Linked DNA regions of Schizosaccharomyces pombe. Changing the gene in region 1 together with any one later gene gives a genetic interaction. Each region holds a gene or a part of one and is shown in the gene's direction. Other genes may lie near its edges. The genes, in order: rps2802, ate1, php3 and rem1.

Region 1 (4,079 bases):
ACCCTGTTATTCGAGATACCATTTGGGGGTTTCTACATAAACTTCCTGACTTGGAACGGTTGATATCACGGGTGCATGCCGGAAGAAGTAAACCCGCAGATTTTGTTCGAGTATTAGAAGGATTCCAACGAATAAATAGTGCATTTGATCAGCTTCGCGAGGAATTCATGGAAGTCGCTGAAGGAACTTTACTAGGAGAGATAATTCAAAGTGCACCTAACATGAAAGAGGAATTAGAAGCATGGACCCGAGCTTTCAATTGGCAAAAGGCTTCAGAAGAAGGTGTTTTCGAACCAGAGATTGGCTTTGAAGCCGAATATGATACTTCTCAAAAATACCAGTCCGAACTTAAAAACGAATTGTATGCGCTTTTAGAGCAATACAAGAAGCAGCTAAGGTGCTCGTCTCTTAATTTTAAAAATATTGGTAAAGAGGTTTATCAGGTCGAAGTCCCAAGCGATGTTAAAGTACCGGTTAATTGGTGCAAAATGTCAGGTACCAAAAAAACCAATCGATACTATAATGATGAACTACGAAAGAAAATAAAGAAATTACTAGAGGCGGAAGAGCTTCATTTAGCAATTATGTCGCGAATGCAGGAGAAATTTTATATTCGATTCGATTCTAATTATGAGCAATGGTTGGCTTTAATTAAATATACTGCATCTATTGATTGCTTTTTCAGCCTTAGTCAAGCAGCCGCAGCGTTGGGTGAGCCATATTGTAGACCGGAAATTATTGAACAGAAGGACGGACACTTGTATTTTGAGGAGTTGAGACATCCTTGTATAAACGCAAGTGCGGCTTCAACTTTCGTTCCTAATGATGTCGTTTTAGGAGGTGAATCCCCAAACATGATTGTTTTGACCGGTCCAAACATGGCTGGAAAGTCCACATTATTGCGTCAAGTCTGTATTGCTGTTATAATGGCTCAACTAGGGTGCTGGGTTCCGGCTAAACGTGCTAGTATAACACCTATGACCAGCATTTACACTAGATTAGGTGCCAATGATGATATAATGTCGGCACGAAGTACTTTTATGGTTGAACTTTCGGAGACAAAGAAAATTTTGGACGAATGTGGACCTAAAAGTTTGGTAATTTTAGATGAACTAGGTCGTGGAACTAGTACTTATGATGGTCACGCGATAGCTTACGCTGTACTTCATCATTTGGTTTCTAATATTGGGTGTTTGGGATTTTTTTCTACACATTATCAAAGTCTTTGCGTTGATTTTATGCATCATCGACAAGTACGATTGATGCAGATGGCTGCAGCTGTTGATGAAAAAATCAGACGTGTAACGTTTTTGTATAAGCTGGAAGATGGTATTTGCCCTAAGTCTTACGGTATGAATGTTGCTAGTATGGCCGGCTTACCTGAGAAGGTAATTGATGCGGCCGAAGAGAAGGCCTCGGAACTTGAGCAAGCGTCTGCCAGCTTCATTAACGCAAGCGATGACATTGCTTTAATGAGTGATTTCCTTCAAGTGTTGCGCATATCAAAGTCAATTGAACCTTTGACAGCAGTGAATATACCTCTCATACTTGATTCGTTTGAATAATAACTGTCAACACTCTATCAGTTTTATGACTATTCAAAGCAATATCTTTCGTTTGCTGGCAAGCGGAAGCTTGCTTTTATTTACCATTTACTTACGTTATTTGCATGTTCACATTAATCAATTTTTTTTTTCTACTGAACAACTAAAATATAAATGTTCACACAATAATTGAAATTAACATAAATGTAGGAAGGACCGGAGAGCTAATTAACCAGCAAACTTCTATATATTACACTTCGTAACTGAGGCATTCTCATAACAGATAGATTTAACGAACAACAACGACAACGTAGGTTATTAATGATTAGACACATCGTTATTTGAGAGAAATGGCAAAATACTATAGATAGTGCATTACGAAGCAAGGTGCTAAAATATATCGTGACTGTCATTTTTGAACACAACAAAACTTCATTTTGAAAGACTTCTTGGTCTAACAACATGGATTCTTCAAAGGTCCCAGTTAAGTTGGCTAAAGTCATCAAAGTTCTCGGACGTACTGGATCTCGGTATGTAACAAAGTGATAGATATTCGAATTAAAAACTAATATTGATACAGTGGTGGTGTTACTCAAGTCCGTGTCGAATTCATGGATGACACATCCCGTTCCATTATTCGTAACGTCAAGGGTCCTGTTCGTGAAGATGATATTCTCGTCTTGTTAGAATCTGAGCGTGAAGCCAGGCGCTTGCGCTAGAAAAAATCTCGAAAGGAAAAATACCTGTTTTTCTATTACCGTACTAAATTCATATTAAGGTGCATAATCTAGATCCGGTTGATCGTTCAAAGGACGCCCGACTAGAGTGTACTTTGTATTCTTCAATATGGAAATATCATCGTCTTTTGAATGAACAACTACTTCTGGTAGCATTACTCTCCCAGCCGTAAGAAACACCGCCGTAACTTGTTCCTGTGCTGTAGTTTGATTTTTTTCCCATACAATCTTTCGTTGAGTAGGTCCAGCAAACAAGATTGTTGTAGTATAAGCTGGAAAATTGTAAAATATCTCGAAGGACTGTCCCTGTTTCTCTTTCTTTGAATGTGTCAAAGATCTAAGGAATGTGAGTGTAATTTCGGTAGGTTTATTCAACAAAACCTTCTGGGGAATCTTCCATATATACTCGATAGTGGTACTTTGCATTTCATCTTTGAAGGGTAAAGGTCCAATTGTTTGATGCAATGAAAAATAGAAGGGTAAGTTTTTTAATCGTTCCTTCTTTTCAAACTCTTGAACGAACGATCTGAGACTATTAAAGGATACTTCGCTCTCTAAATGCTGAATAAATTCACTAAATTCATTCCGAAGCTCCTCATTATCAAAAAATGAGTTTAAAATTTTCTTGCCATTAAGTTTCCGAATCTCTTCAGGCAGTACTACCGTACCTTGGGTAATGTTTGATAAAGAAATCTGTTGACAAGCGTGGTCTAATAACGGCATGATATGTTCGATGTCAATGAAATCGAACCGTTCCCATATGTTTACACATAATTTCATAAATACGACATCTGCAAGACGTAGACAATTCATGGAAAACTTCAAATCTATTGACATATCCGAATCAAAATGGCAGCTCGTAAAGCAATCCATAGGGGATAAGACAGGAATGTTGTAAGGTATATCAAAAACATTATCATATGTACCTTGCTTGGTTTTGCGCATGCAATTCCATGAACAGAAAATGATGGGCTCCTTTGGTTGGATATGTAAAAATATTGTACTCGTAAGGGGATCCCTCATATTATTTGTTTTTTCGCAATTTGCTTCAACAATCCCAGCATTTTCAATATGTAATACTTTACCAAATCGAACTGTCTGCCCAGACTCTAAGATGTAGCTCAAGTTAATAAGAAACTAAATAAGGTTAGCAATAGTGAAATATTTTTTTTTACATACTTCATTTCCTTCAACTGGTGTATTTGTTAGGGGTATATACAACTTGGCTACTCCTGGAACTTTTTGGATGTTTTTTATCACCAAGGAATCAGTTTTTGATTCAAGGCCACAATGCGATTCTTCACTAAGGAAAGACTTTTCCAAATTTGTAAAACCGCTATTCTCTATATAAGATAGTTTTATCTCTGAGCAACTTGCTTTGTAAAATCGTTCACCAAACATAATAGGTATACAAGCAAATATTCCATCATTCTGAAACTGCTGCGAAATTTTTGATTGAAGTATATACAGATGGTTACTATGCTTGGTAGGATTCAATACTTCAATTTGTTTGTTAGAATGCAAGCAATCTTTTTGAAATGATAGCACACTGTCTTTGAGTTTAAAAACTATTGTCTTCAAATGATATCTTCCAGGAATAATATCCTATTTCCATTGTTAATAAACATATAAAAGGTGGGATCACTTACATTACAGTGCACGTTAAGTTTTCCGTCCGTTATACTATTATGCAGCGTAAATAGTAGATTCATTGGATTCTTACTCGAAGAAAGAACATAATTACATGTAACTGAATCAACGCTTTCGAGGTCAAAAACTTTTGACTCGCACATAAAGC
Region 2 (5,354 bases), on another chromosome or scaffold:
ATGATGACCTTCACGCCTTCTATAAGTCATTAAATTCTGTTGATGGGATTTCAAACCTTACTATTGAGGAAGAGGAACTAGTTAACACTGATTTTTCTTTGGCATACGGTGGCAGATTGCTTCTGAGTCATACCAATCTTCACCTTTATAGAGGTCATCGATACGGTGTTGTTGGTCACAATGGTTGTGGTAAATCAACCTTGTTACGCGCTATTGGTGATTACAAGGTTGAAAACTTTCCCTCACCTGATGAGGTTAAAACTTGCTTTGTTGCACATAGTCTTCAAGGCGAGGATACTAGTATGGCTATCCTTGACTTTGTTGCTCAAGATAAGGCGTTACTGACTATGAATGTTACCCGTCAAGAAGCTGCTGATGCTTTGCATTCTGTTGGTTTTACTGCGGAGATGCAGGAAAATCCTGTTGCTTCTTTATCTGGTGGTTGGAAAATGAAACTGGAGTTGGCTCGTGCCATGTTGCAGAAAGCTGATATTTTGCTTTTGGATGAACCAACAAATCATCTTGATGTTGCCAATATTGCATGGCTGGAAGCATATTTAACCTCTCAAAAGAATATTACTTGCTTGATAGTTTCTCACGACTCTTCATTTTTGGACCACGTGTGTACTGACATCATTCATTATGAAGGTGTTAAAAACCAGGCAAAAAAGCTTGGTTATTATCAAGGTAATCTTTCAGCTTTTGTCAAGGTCAAACCGGAAGCTAAATCATACTATACATTGACAGCCACAAACGAGAAGTTTGTTTTTCCACCTCCCGGTATCTTAACTGGTGTGCGCTCAAACACACGTCTCATATTAAAAATGACAAACGCTTCTTATACATATCCCAACGCGAAGAAGAAGTCATTAGATAATGTTACCGTTGGGTTATCTTTATCTTCTCGTGTTGCCATTTTAGGTCCTAACGGTGCTGGTAAATCAACGCTTATTAAAGTTCTTATCGGTGAAGTAATCCCTCAAGAAGGAAAAGTTTTCAAGCATCCCAACTTGCGTGTGGGTTACGTTGCTCAGCATGCCTTTCATCACTTGGATCAACATCTGGAAAAAACGCCAAGTCAATATATTCAATGGCGTTATGCTGGAGGACAGGACCGCGAAGTTTCAGAGAAGGAATCTCGAAAACTTACCGAAGAAGACCGTGCTCAGCTTCAGCGTGATATTACGGTCAATGGCGAACGTAGAAGAGTGGAAGCTTTGATTGGCCGTCAAAAACTAAAAAAGTCATTTCAATATGAAATTAAATGGTTTGGGAAGCCTCATAAATACAATACGTGGGTGTCTCGAGAAATATTGCTTGAAAATGGGTTTCAAAAGTTTGTACAGGCTTTTGATGATATGGAATCTTCTCGCGAAGGTCTCGGTTTCCGTGAATTGATTCCCGAAGACATCAGGGCACATTTTGAGGATGTGGGCCTTCCTGGCGACATTGCTGATTACAGCCCCATTAGTAGTTTGTCTGGCGGTCAAAAGGTTAAAGTTGTTATTGCTGCGTGTCTCTGGAATAACCCCCAGCTTTTGGTTTTGGACGAACCTACAAACTTTTTGGACAGAGATGCATTAGGTGGTTTAGCTGTTGCTATTCGTGATTGGGAAGGTGGGGTCGTTATGATTTCACATAATGAAGAATTTGTTTCTGCGTTGTGTCCTGAACACTGGCATGTAGAAGCGGGTAAGGTTACCGGTAAGGGCAAGACCGCTGTTGACGATGGAAAGTTTGAAGATCTGTCGGAGAAAGATTTGAAAAAGATTGAGGCTAAAGCTACCAAAAAGAAGAAATTGACGAGAAATGAAATCAAGGCCAAAGAAAGACGTGCTAGAGAGAGAGAATTAGCATGGTTACAATCTCCCAAGGGCACCGAAAAACCCAAATCATTCTTCTCTGATGATGAAGAATAATTTCAGACTAATTTTTTAATTCGCTCTTTGGATTGACAAGTTGAGAGTTGTTTATCCTTTAATTTTCTTTAGACGGTGCTAGTTGTTGAAGTTGGTCTTTTACATATTTACGGTTTACTGATATACCTTTTAGACTTAATTTATATATATAGAACTTGGTGGATGGTATCGTGGATAATATTAATATTAGTCGCTTTTTATATGTTTTGTTTATCGTTAGTGCATGTTATAGTTGTATTAGACGTATACACTTTTGTCATTGACTCTTGTAAAAGGTGTCAAGAGAACTATGTATTTTTTGGGTTTTTTTCTAGATATTCGTATGAAAATGTGATAGACTTTTTAATATGATTAATCAGGAAATTTCTATAAACATGCACTCAACGAAAAATAGGGTACTTAATCTTCAAGAAATAATTGGTGTAGTCTTAGTTCACCTACTCAAAGAGCCTTCAAAATAAAGGCAAAAGAACTGAACTAAGAGTTTTACTACTGATGATATAGTTCATTTAATATTAAACAGGGAAATTTTCAAACAATAGTATGGTATTGGATAAACTGTTGTACACAGGGTACAACGTCAGTACTGAATGTGGTTATTGTAAAAGTGGAAGAAAGACCGAGCATTTTGGTTTATTAGCAGAAAAGCTCAGTTGTGAAGTAAGCGTATAACTCTGCTTTTTGCAAATTTTGCTAACCTACATTTAACCTCAGGACTACCAGCGATTGATTGATTTGGGATGGAGGTAAAAACCTTTATTAGTTAACATTGCTAATATAAAATAAGACGTTCAGGACATTATTTATATAAACCCAACGGGAAAACATCTTGCTGTTCTCTTTATACAATCAGGTACTTAGCATAAGTCGCCAAATATGATTGATTACTAACCGCCGAATGTTGAAGACTCGACAGCTATAATTTTAAAATTGCAAAAGAGCAAAAGAAGGCAATAAAAAAATGGGTCAAATATGTAAATGGAAAGCCATTAAAACCTATGAAAAGCGAAATTAGCACAGATTATTTGAACAATGCCTTTCAAACTATAGAATCGCTCGGAGCTGAAAAATACTCTGTAACTATGGAGCCTTGCACTTACACCGATGAGAAATTTGAAGTCTTCAAAAAGTATCAAATGCAAGTTCATTTAGAGAAAGAAGAGGAAATCACGAAAAAAGGATTTAGCAGGTTTCTTTGCAACTCTCCTTTATTTAATGAAGACAAGGGGATAAAGTATGGTTCTTATCATCAGATGTATCGATTTCAAGGAAGGCTTGTGGCAGTTGGAGTTTTAGACTTGCTACCACATGGTGTTTCTAGCGTTTATCTGTTTTATGATCCTGATATGTCTAAGTTTTCTCTGGGAAGGATTAGTGCCTGCCGTGAAATCTGGCTTGCTCTTGAATGCGGATATCGGTACTACTACATGGGTAGGCTAAAATGTCATTTATTTAATTACGTTGATTGACCTTGCAGGTTATTATATTCACACATGTCCCAAAATGAAGTATAAGGCAACGTATAGTCCATCGTACCTGCTTAATCCCGTACGTATACATTCGATTTTAACTTGAACTAATACAAACAGGGTACAAATAAATGGATACCAATTGAAAACTTTACTTCACTTTGGAATACTGGTGCTCCTAAATATATAAGTTTCGGGGATGAAAATAATAGTGATATTCAAACTGCTGTTGACTACGATTCTTCTGAAGATTCATCTCAAAACGAAGATGATTATACACTGTTTAATCGACAGCTTCCTGGAATTCTTTCAGTAAATGTTGCTGAGTCCTTGGTTTCGGAGAATTTTGCTAACATTGGCAATTCAACTTTCCCCACAAGAGTATGTCTTTATTTTTGAGTAACAATGCTAATTCTTCAGCATGTTTTAAGTTATTTCCCTCAGGTTAAACATTGGTTTGTTGAAATCAATGCTGCTGTGGGCGAAGAAGTCGCAAAGAGTTATACACTTGTTTTATCTAGTTGATATATTATCTGTCTACGTGTTTTATTTGCTTAAGATATGAACATCCTACTTAAAAATCTTAATGAACTCCAGGATGGCTTTGAGAGTAAATTTTACAATGTGACTTACAGAATTAAGTTAATTTTATGCTACTACTTATGTGTGATAGTTTCCTCTTTTATGTCCCTTAATCGAAGTTGATAGCATTTCTAATAATATAAAATACTGCCGGCTTATATATTTATTTTGTAATTATTTATAACTGCACGCTACCTAAAATGTCACCCTAACATAACTTAGTGGGCTTTTCCGTTACGAGTTGTTTGCAACCAAACACAAAAACGGGTTTACCGGTACTTCACGACTTAATATAATCGCAAAACAGTGCATAGTAGGTGAGAAAGGATTTTATCATTTAGAGAAGAGATTTTACTTTAATTGTTCTTCTTTTTTCTTTCTCAAGTGTTACTGCTAGGTTCTCATTCTATAGAGTATTAGCAAACACCAGATTTCGATGACATTTCGTGTCAAAATTGGGTTGACTGCATTTTAAAAATAATTAATCACGGTTGGCTTACAATTCAACTTCTAGGCACTGATTTTTTCTTCGAATGCCATTTTGAAGTTATTTTACTTTTACTTTCCTAAAACAAGGTGTTGTAATAAGGGATTGTTCTTTTATCTATTTTTGTACCATTTGTATAAAGAATTCATTAATTTGCACTGTGATTTTCTTAATACAGGCTTAAATCCATTTACCGCTTCCATTTTTTCTTTGAATAAGTTACACCATTTCTCAACGATAAATACTTGTATAGAGAGGTGTATTTACTTGTTCAATTTCATTCTTTATTGAAAATCACTGATTTTGATTTGATTTTTATTGCGTTTAAGCTGTATGCTACTTGGAAGCTGCTTCTCAAGTATAATATTGCCTTTGCAACAAAGTTTTTTTATATCTCTTTTTACAGGATTTCGCATGTTTTATCTTTTTTGTTGAGGTGCTTCACTGATTCTATTTTGTACCTAAACTCGATTTTTGTGCGGATATATTATGAAGAAGTATTTGTGGGGTACTCCAACTACGAATACCGTATTTACAGGCAAGCAACCAAAGTATACCAAGGAGGTTCGCAAATGCATTTCAATTGATGAAGTATATAATGTTGTGCGAAAGGTTGGAGATGGCACCTTCGGTTCAGTTTACCTTGCAACTACTAAAACTCCTTCTAAAGAAGTAGTAGCTATAAAAAGTATGAAGAAAAAGCTGGCTAAGGTTTCTGATGCTACCAGATTGCGCGAGGTACATTCTTTGTTGAGACTTTCCGAAAATGAAAATATAGTTAATATTTTCGATTTATATATAGATCAATTTCGATGTTTACATATTGTAATGGAGTTTCTCGATTGCAATTTGTACCAGCTAATAAGTACTAGAAAGAACGACCCTTTGACTCTTGAG
Region 3 (4,165 bases), on another chromosome or scaffold:
AAAATAGATGGCATATTATAGTAATTAACAGTAATCCAACCGAGGTGCTACGAATCCAATAAAAGAGAGGTGTCAAAGCATACGTATCAGTGTTTTCAGGAACATTGCCTCTATGCGATCCCAGAAACCTGGGCAGCAGAGCCGATCTTTCGTTAGCAGCTTCTGCGTTCACGTCTTGAGAAGTATTCATGGTTCTCTACGTTAATTTTTCTTTACTCGGTAACCAAATGGGGATGGTTCTGAAGTAAGATGGTTCTTTTTAAAGATAAATAGAAAGGAAAGAAAAGAAAAAGAAACGTTCTTCACTAGAAACAGTGGATCACGGGAATTTGAGTAGAAGGGAATAAAGAAACGAAACGAAACGAAAACTATATGGATTTATAATTAGAGTAACGGCGTAAACAAGATGGACTGTTGTTTTTAAATCCCAGCAAAAATATATATAATCACAACAGAGAAATCGATTTTGTCACAACTAGATGTGACAATAAAACAATTTTAGGTAAAAATCAAATGTTTCTGTTTATGCAGTAGACAATTACCACAAAAAAAAATAGAAATTGACTTGATAATTGTTGAAAAAGTATTATTTGCAATGAATACAAGTCTTTGCAATACTTTTGAATTTTCTTTTAACAATAGCTTGACTACCAAACTATTGTAGGCAAATGAATTTATTATGTAAAGAAATCTTGGTTAAGTTCTATCCTTTTGCGGACCCTTCACCATCACTGGCTACTTGCCATATATATTATAAACTGCCATTATGTTCTACGTAAATTAGCCTGCGTCGAGGAAACGTAATGAATGGGCGGCTCAGCGTTGTATGGAAATAAGACTAGTTAAGTGTCCTTTAGTAATGCACTCGATTACTCTATGTGACGTCGAGAGGACGGAAGAGTAGGAATGATGGTAAAGGCAAAAAACATATTCGTTCTTTTGACAACACACAGCTCGCATCGCCTTCAATTACCCTTGCCAATGTTGCAAGTGATGATGGGTGAGATGGGATAGAAAGAGGAGCAAACTTTTAATCTGATATATCATTGATGTATAGGAAATGAGAAATAAAAATACAACTAGGTTTATAGTGCATTCCACTGTATAATATAAAGATTAGGATAGATACACATGACTTTTGAAGTGCAGAAGTATAGTCAAGTAGGGAATATAGTTGAGTAGATGCGAGTTGTAGAACAAAACAATTCAGTATACGCAATTTTCCCCTACGGGAACATATTTAGGTATGCGTGCGAATGGAGAGTGAAGATGAATGAAATGTAGAAAAAAAAAACACTGGATTGTCAGTTTTGCCATAAGATACATTTACTTTCTTGTTATTCCATTTTTCTACGAATCTTCTTTGCTAGGTTATTTTTATTAACTTTTTCGCAAACACGATTTTAATAACATTGAATTCCTCTTCAGTTATCAGATGTGAACGGTAAATACCAATTGTGAACTATTTCAAACGAACTTAATATTTGCTCTGTAAGTTGTAAAATAAATGTCTCATAATTATTTCGCTGTCAGTTTCCACAATCGCTTCTACTCTTTTTTTATATTTATATTTATATTTTTTTTTTGAATTAAATTAATTCATATTATTATTTATTTTTCTTGGTTTTCTAATGATATGTTTATGATATTTATAAAAGGATTTATTTATTTGCTTTTTGTATGAAGGATCGTCGCTTGAATGACAAAACACTTCTTTTGCTAGTCTCTCCTTTCCTCTTGTTTAACGTATATCACGATTATTTTGTCAGCGTAAAAGTGACATAGGGATTAGATGGCATCCCACTTTCTTTTTACTGGGAAACCTTGGCTTCAAGAGAAGACGCCTCGCCTTCACCTTCATCCCACTTGGGACCTTAAAGCTTCCAAAAGTCTTGCTCGTTTCCCTTATACGCCACTTGAAAGTCTTTTGGCCCCCATTTCGGCCTTTCACCCCACTTACCTAAATAGCGCAGCCCCGTCGAAGGCTCAGAGCCATCCAGTATTGCTCGCCGCTGGAGTAGGTGGAATAGTAGTTAGATGCCCCAGTCGGAAACCGATATATCGTACCACTCGAATTCAGTATCTCTTGTTAATCTCCCACTTTACAACTGCACTATTTAAATAATATTATAGGCCGATACAGTCAGTCTGCGAATTGCTTGCAACCTGTAGAAACAAATTGCTGTTTCTTTTGCAATAACATAGTGTTTCTTTATCGCAATAACCAACTACTGATTTCTTTCCCTATTGGAAGTAGATAGACGTTTACTTTCTTTTGTGAAGAAGCAGAAAGTTAACGTTAAGCCATTACCCTCGTTCATTGCTCAAAAGGAGGTCATTTCTTTTTATTTGATTTGTTCGTCTTTTAGGATCTTCATCTCCTGCTGAATTATTGGATTTCTTTTTAGTTCCCTCCACAAAGGCTCGAGAATAGGTTATCAGCTGTCGATTTTTGTCAAGGATCGTGCTTGCTAGTAGTCAAACCAATTTTAGCGGGGTTTGTGTACTTATTTTCGTTATTTGAGGTTTCTCTGCTCGCCAAAATTAAATTATACAAGTAAAAGATACATTTAATTATCATGAGCGCAGACGGGTTGGATTACACCAATCTCCTACCAATTGCAAATGTCGCGCGTATCATGAAATCGGCACTTCCCGAAAACGCCAAGATTTCCAAGGTATGCATGATTTGTTGAATTGAGAAAAATCGCATTGTCAGTCTCTTCGATTGATTGATTGCTAGTGACGGAGTAGGTCGCTGTGAGTGCGTTCTTCTCTTTTGTTTTGTAATTTTCATGTTGCAGTGCTAATGTCTGACTTTTTAGGAAGCTAAAGACTGCGTCCAAGATTGCGTTAGTGAGTTTATTTCCTTTGTTACTGGTGAAGGTATGGAATCAATAGCAAAAGCCTCATGTATAGTTATTTACTGACCATATAATAGCATCTGAACAATGCACTCAAGAAAAGAGAAAGACAATTACTGGTGAAGATGTTTTATTGGCTTTAAATACCCTTGGGTTCGAAAATTATGCCGAAGTTTTAAAGATTTCTCTCACCAAATACAGAGAGGTAAGGAAAAATTCTTTATTTGAATGGTGATACGTGTACTTCTACTTCCTTGTTGGCTTAGAGATTTAAATTGTCTCAAGCAATGAAGGCGCAACAATTCATTCACTCATACCAAAATTTCATTCTCATAGTCACTTTTCTAACATCTACTCTAGCAACAAGCAAGATCTGCTAGCATGAAAGAAACTAAACAAAGCCGGTCCGAAGAGCCTCAGTAATTTCCTTATATATTTTGCATTAGCGGGGTTTTCCCTGAAATATTTCCTGACTTTTGCAGCGATCGTCGATCGCCTTATTTGTTATTCCTCTCTCTTTTTGTACTCTCCTGTTTTATCTCTGTTTATCTTACAAATGATGCTAATTTACGAACTATGTTAATTTCTACTTTAACCAAGTTTCAAAGATAAGCACTATATTGCCAAAATGGCCTGTTCATATTTAAAACTTCCTTAATGTCGTCAGTATAAATTTAGCAATTACTATTGCCTGTTTACTTAAAGTGTATTATTGTGATTATCCCTCATTCGCTTTTGCTTACTTTTTCATTTTGTTAATCCTGCTACTGTTAACCTATATATTATTTTGAAAAAAATAGCATTTCATTTTTATTTTTACTCATTTCGTCTATTTCACCGAAATCAGCATAAGACACATATAGTCATTCGGTTCATGGAAGGATTAGCCGATGTTTCCGTAGTCATATACGTATCAATCAATAAATTTTCTTATTGTCAGGAAAGTGTTTAATCCTGCTGTAGCTAGTATGTAAATTACCTTCTCAGCGTACGGCTATATAATACCAGGGTCATTTTCCGTCCACCGATTCTAATAGATTCCACCAACTTCGTATGTTAGGGATTCGTGCCTCGTTTCCCATCTGTTTATCTAAAATAACTAATTTAAATTGCCGTAATAAGTTTCGATTAACACATCAAAGCGTTATCAATACTAAGTCTTCATTGTTTGCGCGCTTAAAAATTTCAACCCACACTCCTTCTTATCCTTTACCTACACTACACCGCAGAGACCTCATGACCGCCGAATCAGAGGTAGTTAATTGGCCTGCCAATGAGATCAGGCGTACGTTTTTGAAGTA
Region 4 (4,420 bases), on another chromosome or scaffold:
TCAGTCGGCGAATGAAATCGATGGTAATCACCTGGTGCCAAGTAAATAACTGCGTAGTATAAACAATTCGTTTCTCTTGATCCGAACAACGTAAACTGTGATTTGGCTGCCACTTTTGTTGAGCTTAACAAATCAATATGTTGTGCGCTAGCATCTTTGACATGGCTTGGTCGTTCACCATGATCATGACCCATTAAATCTTGTAAACTGTAATGTATACCATTTAACTTGGCAAACTCCTCTTGACGAATGTGAGGGATATGATCGGGAGAGGGAATAGCATGGCTGCGCTTCAAACGAGCTAACTTCTCATCGCCCAATAGTGCATCAAGGGAATAGGTTATACCTTTTACTTGTTCAAGCTGACCTCCTTCAATAACACCATAATTCAAGATTTTCCCATCCGCAGGAATAACAATTGGGGCATCGGGATCAATTACGCGCGCTCCAGGTTTCAACTTTCTGGTGAAAAACTCGGCCAGATTTTTGTATTGGCGGACATCATCGGGGTCAGCTTCTGTCAAGTTGCAACCAAATATTTTAGAATAAAGGCCAAACGCTGGCACTCTCATCCATAGAGGAATCTCAATACGATTAACATATCCCCACCAACGCGAGAGAGTTCGTAATGGTAAAGTGGTAAGGACATAAAATTGCCATGGTCCCTCCACCTGAACGCCTTTCTTCTGATACGTTTTCTCGTGACGATCTTGAGCCCAAGCGAAGCCAGCTAATCCAACCAAGCCGATTCCTGTCAACCCATATGCTAAGCGGATGATTCCAACCCGTTTACGAGAGTTGTGTTTTCCCAAACTACTATACCTTGCAAATGCACCAAATTGAGGCTTCACATTACGATGAAATTTTAGCATGTTAGATTGTTTTTATGGAATTAAACTTTTGAATGGATTTCGGAGACCCGTTAACTTTTAAACTTCCATATGCTATTTCTTCGAATCCATGTGCTTCTCAAAGGATAGTGGTAGAAGTTAAGTCGTAGTAAACTTGGGATATCAAGTAAATATGGGAACTGTAATATGATTTAAAGTTGTTGAGTTTTCATTTTCTTTCTTTTTTTTTTTTTTAAGGAAATTAAATCAGATCCTTGACATTGTATCAGGCAATCCTACTTTGCGAAAATCGATCAAAATTAGAAGAAAGGAATATTCCTTATAGCATTGTATAAGTGCAGAAGAAACTTTCGAAGCAAGTTTGTAGAAAAATCTTAGAATAGGAGATTCTTTTCAATTACATTTCAATTTGTTTGATTATAATAACTTACGAGAAGGCGTAAATTAATTATTTTTTTTAAGCTTGTTTGATGGTTACCTAATAGAAAAAAAGCTTAATTGTAGCAAGATTTCTTATGTTCAGTTTTCAATGATTCGAAAACGGTAAAATAATGGAATGTTTACAACCGATGAGCGACTGTAAAAACTCATCAATACAAATAATAAAAGAGTTTTTGATCAAAATCCTTGCTTTACTTTGATAACGTTTCGATCAACACAAAAACCTATTTCATGAATTCGGGCATTGTTTGGAATTTTTAAGCAGCATGAATTCTGATATAGTAGAGGTAAAGTTTAGTTTTGGGTTGTGTTTTACTTTAAGGTTACGACCGTTGGTATATGTATATGGGAAATAAACAAACATTTTCACCATCAACTTTTTGTTGACTCACTGTAAACAAACAGAACCTGCTAATAGCATACTGCCATTTTACAACAAAAAGTTCAAGAAAACGGTTTGATTTGATTCCCAATCATTAAAGAGTAAAAGCAATTGTATTGACTGATACTTGCCTACCTAAGAGCTTGGTTGAAACAATTAAAGCGACCGTTTCAGCAACGAGAACCAATTCAAACATGAACTCTAACAACAAAAGAGTTGCGCTTCAAGAAATAAGCAATTATGTTTCCAAATCATTGAACGTAAAAGGCTGGGTGAACGCACAGGTACGAGAAATATCCCTTCAAAATGGGTGTAGCCCATCAGATAAACATTTTCCGTCACAGAGCTGGCATGGAATTAGTTCAATTGAAGAGTCGCAAATACAAAAGGACTATGATAGTTTTTTAGCGTCACCTTTAGAGGAAGAGATAGTCTTTACGGAGAAACAGCTTTTGGTAGATTTGGATGTTTGCTCGATCAGTAACGTTCAAAGTCCTAATTGCAGTGTTTCGGAATTTGGCATAGCGATTGAAGAATCAAATGACAATTGTGCAGAGGAGGATGAAGAGGAGGAATTACAGATGAGATATTCAGCAGATGAATCGGTGTCTGTGGAATACGCAAAAGAAATCCTATCGCACATGGAGAAATTGGAGGTATGAAAAAAATGGGAAGAAAAGGGGGAAGGAAAACAAGAAGATGAAGGAGTTGAAGAAGTTTTTATTTATTAACATTTTTTAGATTCGATTTATGCCTGATTACCGACATATGTCGGCTCAACCATATTATGTTACAGAGATGAGGGCTAGTGTGATCAATTGGATTGTGGGGGTGCATACATGTATAAACCTGCTTCCAGAATCCTTATTCCTATCGATCAATGTATTGGATAGATTTCTATCTCTACAAAATGTGCCAGCATCGAAAATGAAACTTTGCGGCGCAACGGCGCTGTTTATTGCTTGCAAGTATGAAGAGATCCATCCTCCTACAGTGAAAGATTTGGAAATAGTGTTGGAGGGAGAATGGATAGGAGAAGATATTTGCGGAATGGAAAAGTATATGCTTATGGTTCTTCAATATCAACTTGGGTGGCCGGGGCCAGTATCGTTTTTGAGGCTATTGACGATTGTCAACAAATGGGAGTCGCAGCTGCGAATAATGATAAAATATTTTCTTGAAGTATCGCTAGTGGAACAAAGATTTTCAAGTCTAAGGGCGAGTCAATTGGTAGCGACATGCGCCTACACCGGCCAATCTATATTGCAAGAGGAAAACTGGAGCAATACGTTGCCTCAAATTACGGGATATGATTATATGAGTTTAGTTTCGTATGTGCATCTACTGTTGAAATGTCTAGAAAATCCGTTTGATCACCACTATGCGATCTATTCAAAGTATGCAACACCGTATTTCCATGGGATTAGTCGACAAGTGCATGACTGGATTGCGACAAATACGAACTTGATGGCGATGGATGGTAGTTGAGGGGGGGGGGGAAGAGAAAAAGGAGGGAAAAGAGAGAGAAGAAGAAGTAAGATGTAGGAAATTTAATGAAAGATAGATATGAAGAGGATGAGAGAGAGAGAGAGAGAGAGAGAGAGAGAGGGAAGTGTAGGAAAATAGAGAAAAAAGAAGAGTAGTAGTAAAAGTAGAAGAGTAAGAGTAGGAGAAAAAAAATTACACGAGAGAGTAAAGACTGGGGTTATAGAAGTGAAAAGGGAGACGAACGACTTGATATGGACTTTTGTGAAAGAAGCTCGAATTAAGGTGTATCGCTAAGTAAGAAGGTTTGTAAAAAGCGAGGGAGGGTGGGACGGAATAGAGAAGCGAAGGGTCAAGTTGATGTCGAGAGGTTGGTAGTGCGGTAGATGTCGCTAATAAAGGTTTGTGAGAAGGAGAAGAGGAATCGCTACCAAGTACCTTTTATTAAAGGAGTGCCTTAGAATACAGTAAAAGAAAATAAAAGATGAACAAGACAAGGAAAGAAAAGTACCTAAATTGAACAAGAAAAAAAGAATAAAAAGCAAAATTAAATTAAAAAAAAAAAGAAATAAAGAAAATAAAAAAAAGAAATATTATTATTGTTATTATTATTTTAAATTTATTTTATTTTTATTTATTTGTTTTTTTTTTTTAGTAAGGGTATATATTTTATTAATAATAATTTTTACCTAGTGGTCCTATCTATATCTTGTTGTTGTGTGTATCTAGATGTCTATGCTACCAAAAATCTGTAACCTAATTTGTCTTATCTGATAATATGCTCTATGATACTATGAATAGCCATATCAGCTCATGAATATAGGAATCCTTGGAGCAGTCATTTGATGAAACGAGCAGTTCTTTTGAAAGATGCTTATCAACGTATTTGGGCGTAAATAGAAAAAGTTTGGGTTGTAACATTTGTTGAGTTAAATACATTTGAAATGTTTCAGAGAGTATGCAGACGGAATTGTTGTTGCTGAACATTGGCAAACACATTGATTTGCAAACATCATCGACGTAGCATTTCCCCGGTTTCCCTGTCTCCAAGGGCTCGTCATCATTGCGTCGTTTGCAATAAGCGCAAGCCAACGTGGGGAAACATAGCACAGAGGGGAGAAACAAAGTGCGATAAGTTTAGTTTTCGTAGTGGAGCGAGATGCAAGGAGTGCTTAGGAATGAGAGAAGAGAAGAGAGAAGAGAGTAAAGAGTAAAAGGATGTAAGGGTGTGAAGATGAGAGCATTTGATAAACAAAGGAAA

Evidence for each region.
Region 2: mutations in rps2802 (region 1) and ate1 together harm fitness less than expected from each alone (positive genetic interaction), as found in Schizosaccharomyces pombe (one large-scale study listed by BioGRID).
Region 3: mutations in rps2802 (region 1) and php3 together harm fitness less than expected from each alone (positive genetic interaction), as found in Schizosaccharomyces pombe (one large-scale study listed by BioGRID).
Region 4: mutations in rps2802 (region 1) and rem1 together harm fitness more than expected from each alone (negative genetic interaction), as found in Schizosaccharomyces pombe (one large-scale study listed by BioGRID).

Annotation. Positions count from the first base shown.
Region 1 is NC_003421.2:1,825,288-1,829,366, reverse strand, and holds rps2802 (40S ribosomal protein eS28), read left to right. Parts: upstream 1-2,000; 5' UTR 2,001-2,006; coding exon 2,007-2,074; exon of another isoform or gene 2,075-2,124; coding exon 2,125-2,263; 3' UTR 2,264-2,317; downstream 2,318-4,079. Other genes in the region: msh6 (DNA mismatch repair protein), read left to right, coding at 1-1,565; TRAPP complex subunit Trs130, read right to left, coding at 2,318-3,418, 3,461-3,886, 3,931-4,079. UniProt on the Schizosaccharomyces pombe protein: Component of the ribosome, a large ribonucleoprotein complex responsible for the synthesis of proteins in the cell.
Region 2 is NC_003424.3:2,075,839-2,081,192, reverse strand, and holds ate1 (arginine-tRNA--protein transferase), read left to right. Parts: upstream 1-2,349; 5' UTR 2,350-2,462; coding exon 2,463-2,579; exon of another isoform or gene 2,580-2,633; coding exon 2,634-2,665; exon of another isoform or gene 2,666-2,706; coding exon 2,707-2,772; exon of another isoform or gene 2,773-2,826; coding exon 2,827-3,350; exon of another isoform or gene 3,351-3,396; coding exon 3,397-3,467; exon of another isoform or gene 3,468-3,508; coding exon 3,509-3,769; exon of another isoform or gene 3,770-3,808; coding exon 3,809-3,913; 3' UTR 3,914-4,086; downstream 4,087-5,354. Other genes in the region: AAA family ATPase Elf1, read left to right, coding at 1-1,919; serine/threonine protein kinase Pit1, read left to right, coding at 4,947-5,354.
Region 3 is NC_003424.3:2,143,102-2,147,266, forward strand, and holds php3 (CCAAT-binding factor complex subunit Php3), read left to right. Parts: upstream 1-2,579; coding exon 2,580-2,678; intron 2,679-2,825; coding exon 2,826-2,886; intron 2,887-2,941; coding exon 2,942-3,069; intron 3,070-3,224; coding exon 3,225-3,287; downstream 3,288-4,165. Other genes in the region: SPOM_SPAC23C11.06C (hydrolase), read right to left, coding at 1-190; SPOM_SPAC23C11.07 (uncharacterized protein), read left to right, coding at 1,793-2,125; alanine--tRNA (Ala) ligase Ala1, read left to right, coding at 4,101-4,165. UniProt on the Schizosaccharomyces pombe protein: Belongs to a complex that binds to the sequence CCAAT located upstream of genes involved in mitochondrial electron transport.
Region 4 is NC_003423.3:1,952,161-1,956,580, reverse strand, and holds rem1 (meiosis specific cyclin Rem1), read left to right. Parts: upstream 1-1,868; coding exon 1,869-2,330; exon of another isoform or gene 2,331-2,415; coding exon 2,416-3,162; downstream 3,163-4,420. Other genes in the region: phosphatidylserine decarboxylase Psd1, read right to left, coding at 1-872; SPOM_SPBC16E9.20 (uncharacterized protein), read right to left, coding at 4,220-4,420. UniProt on the Schizosaccharomyces pombe protein: Required for pre-meiotic DNA synthesis and S phase progression. Regulates levels of meiotic intragenic recombination.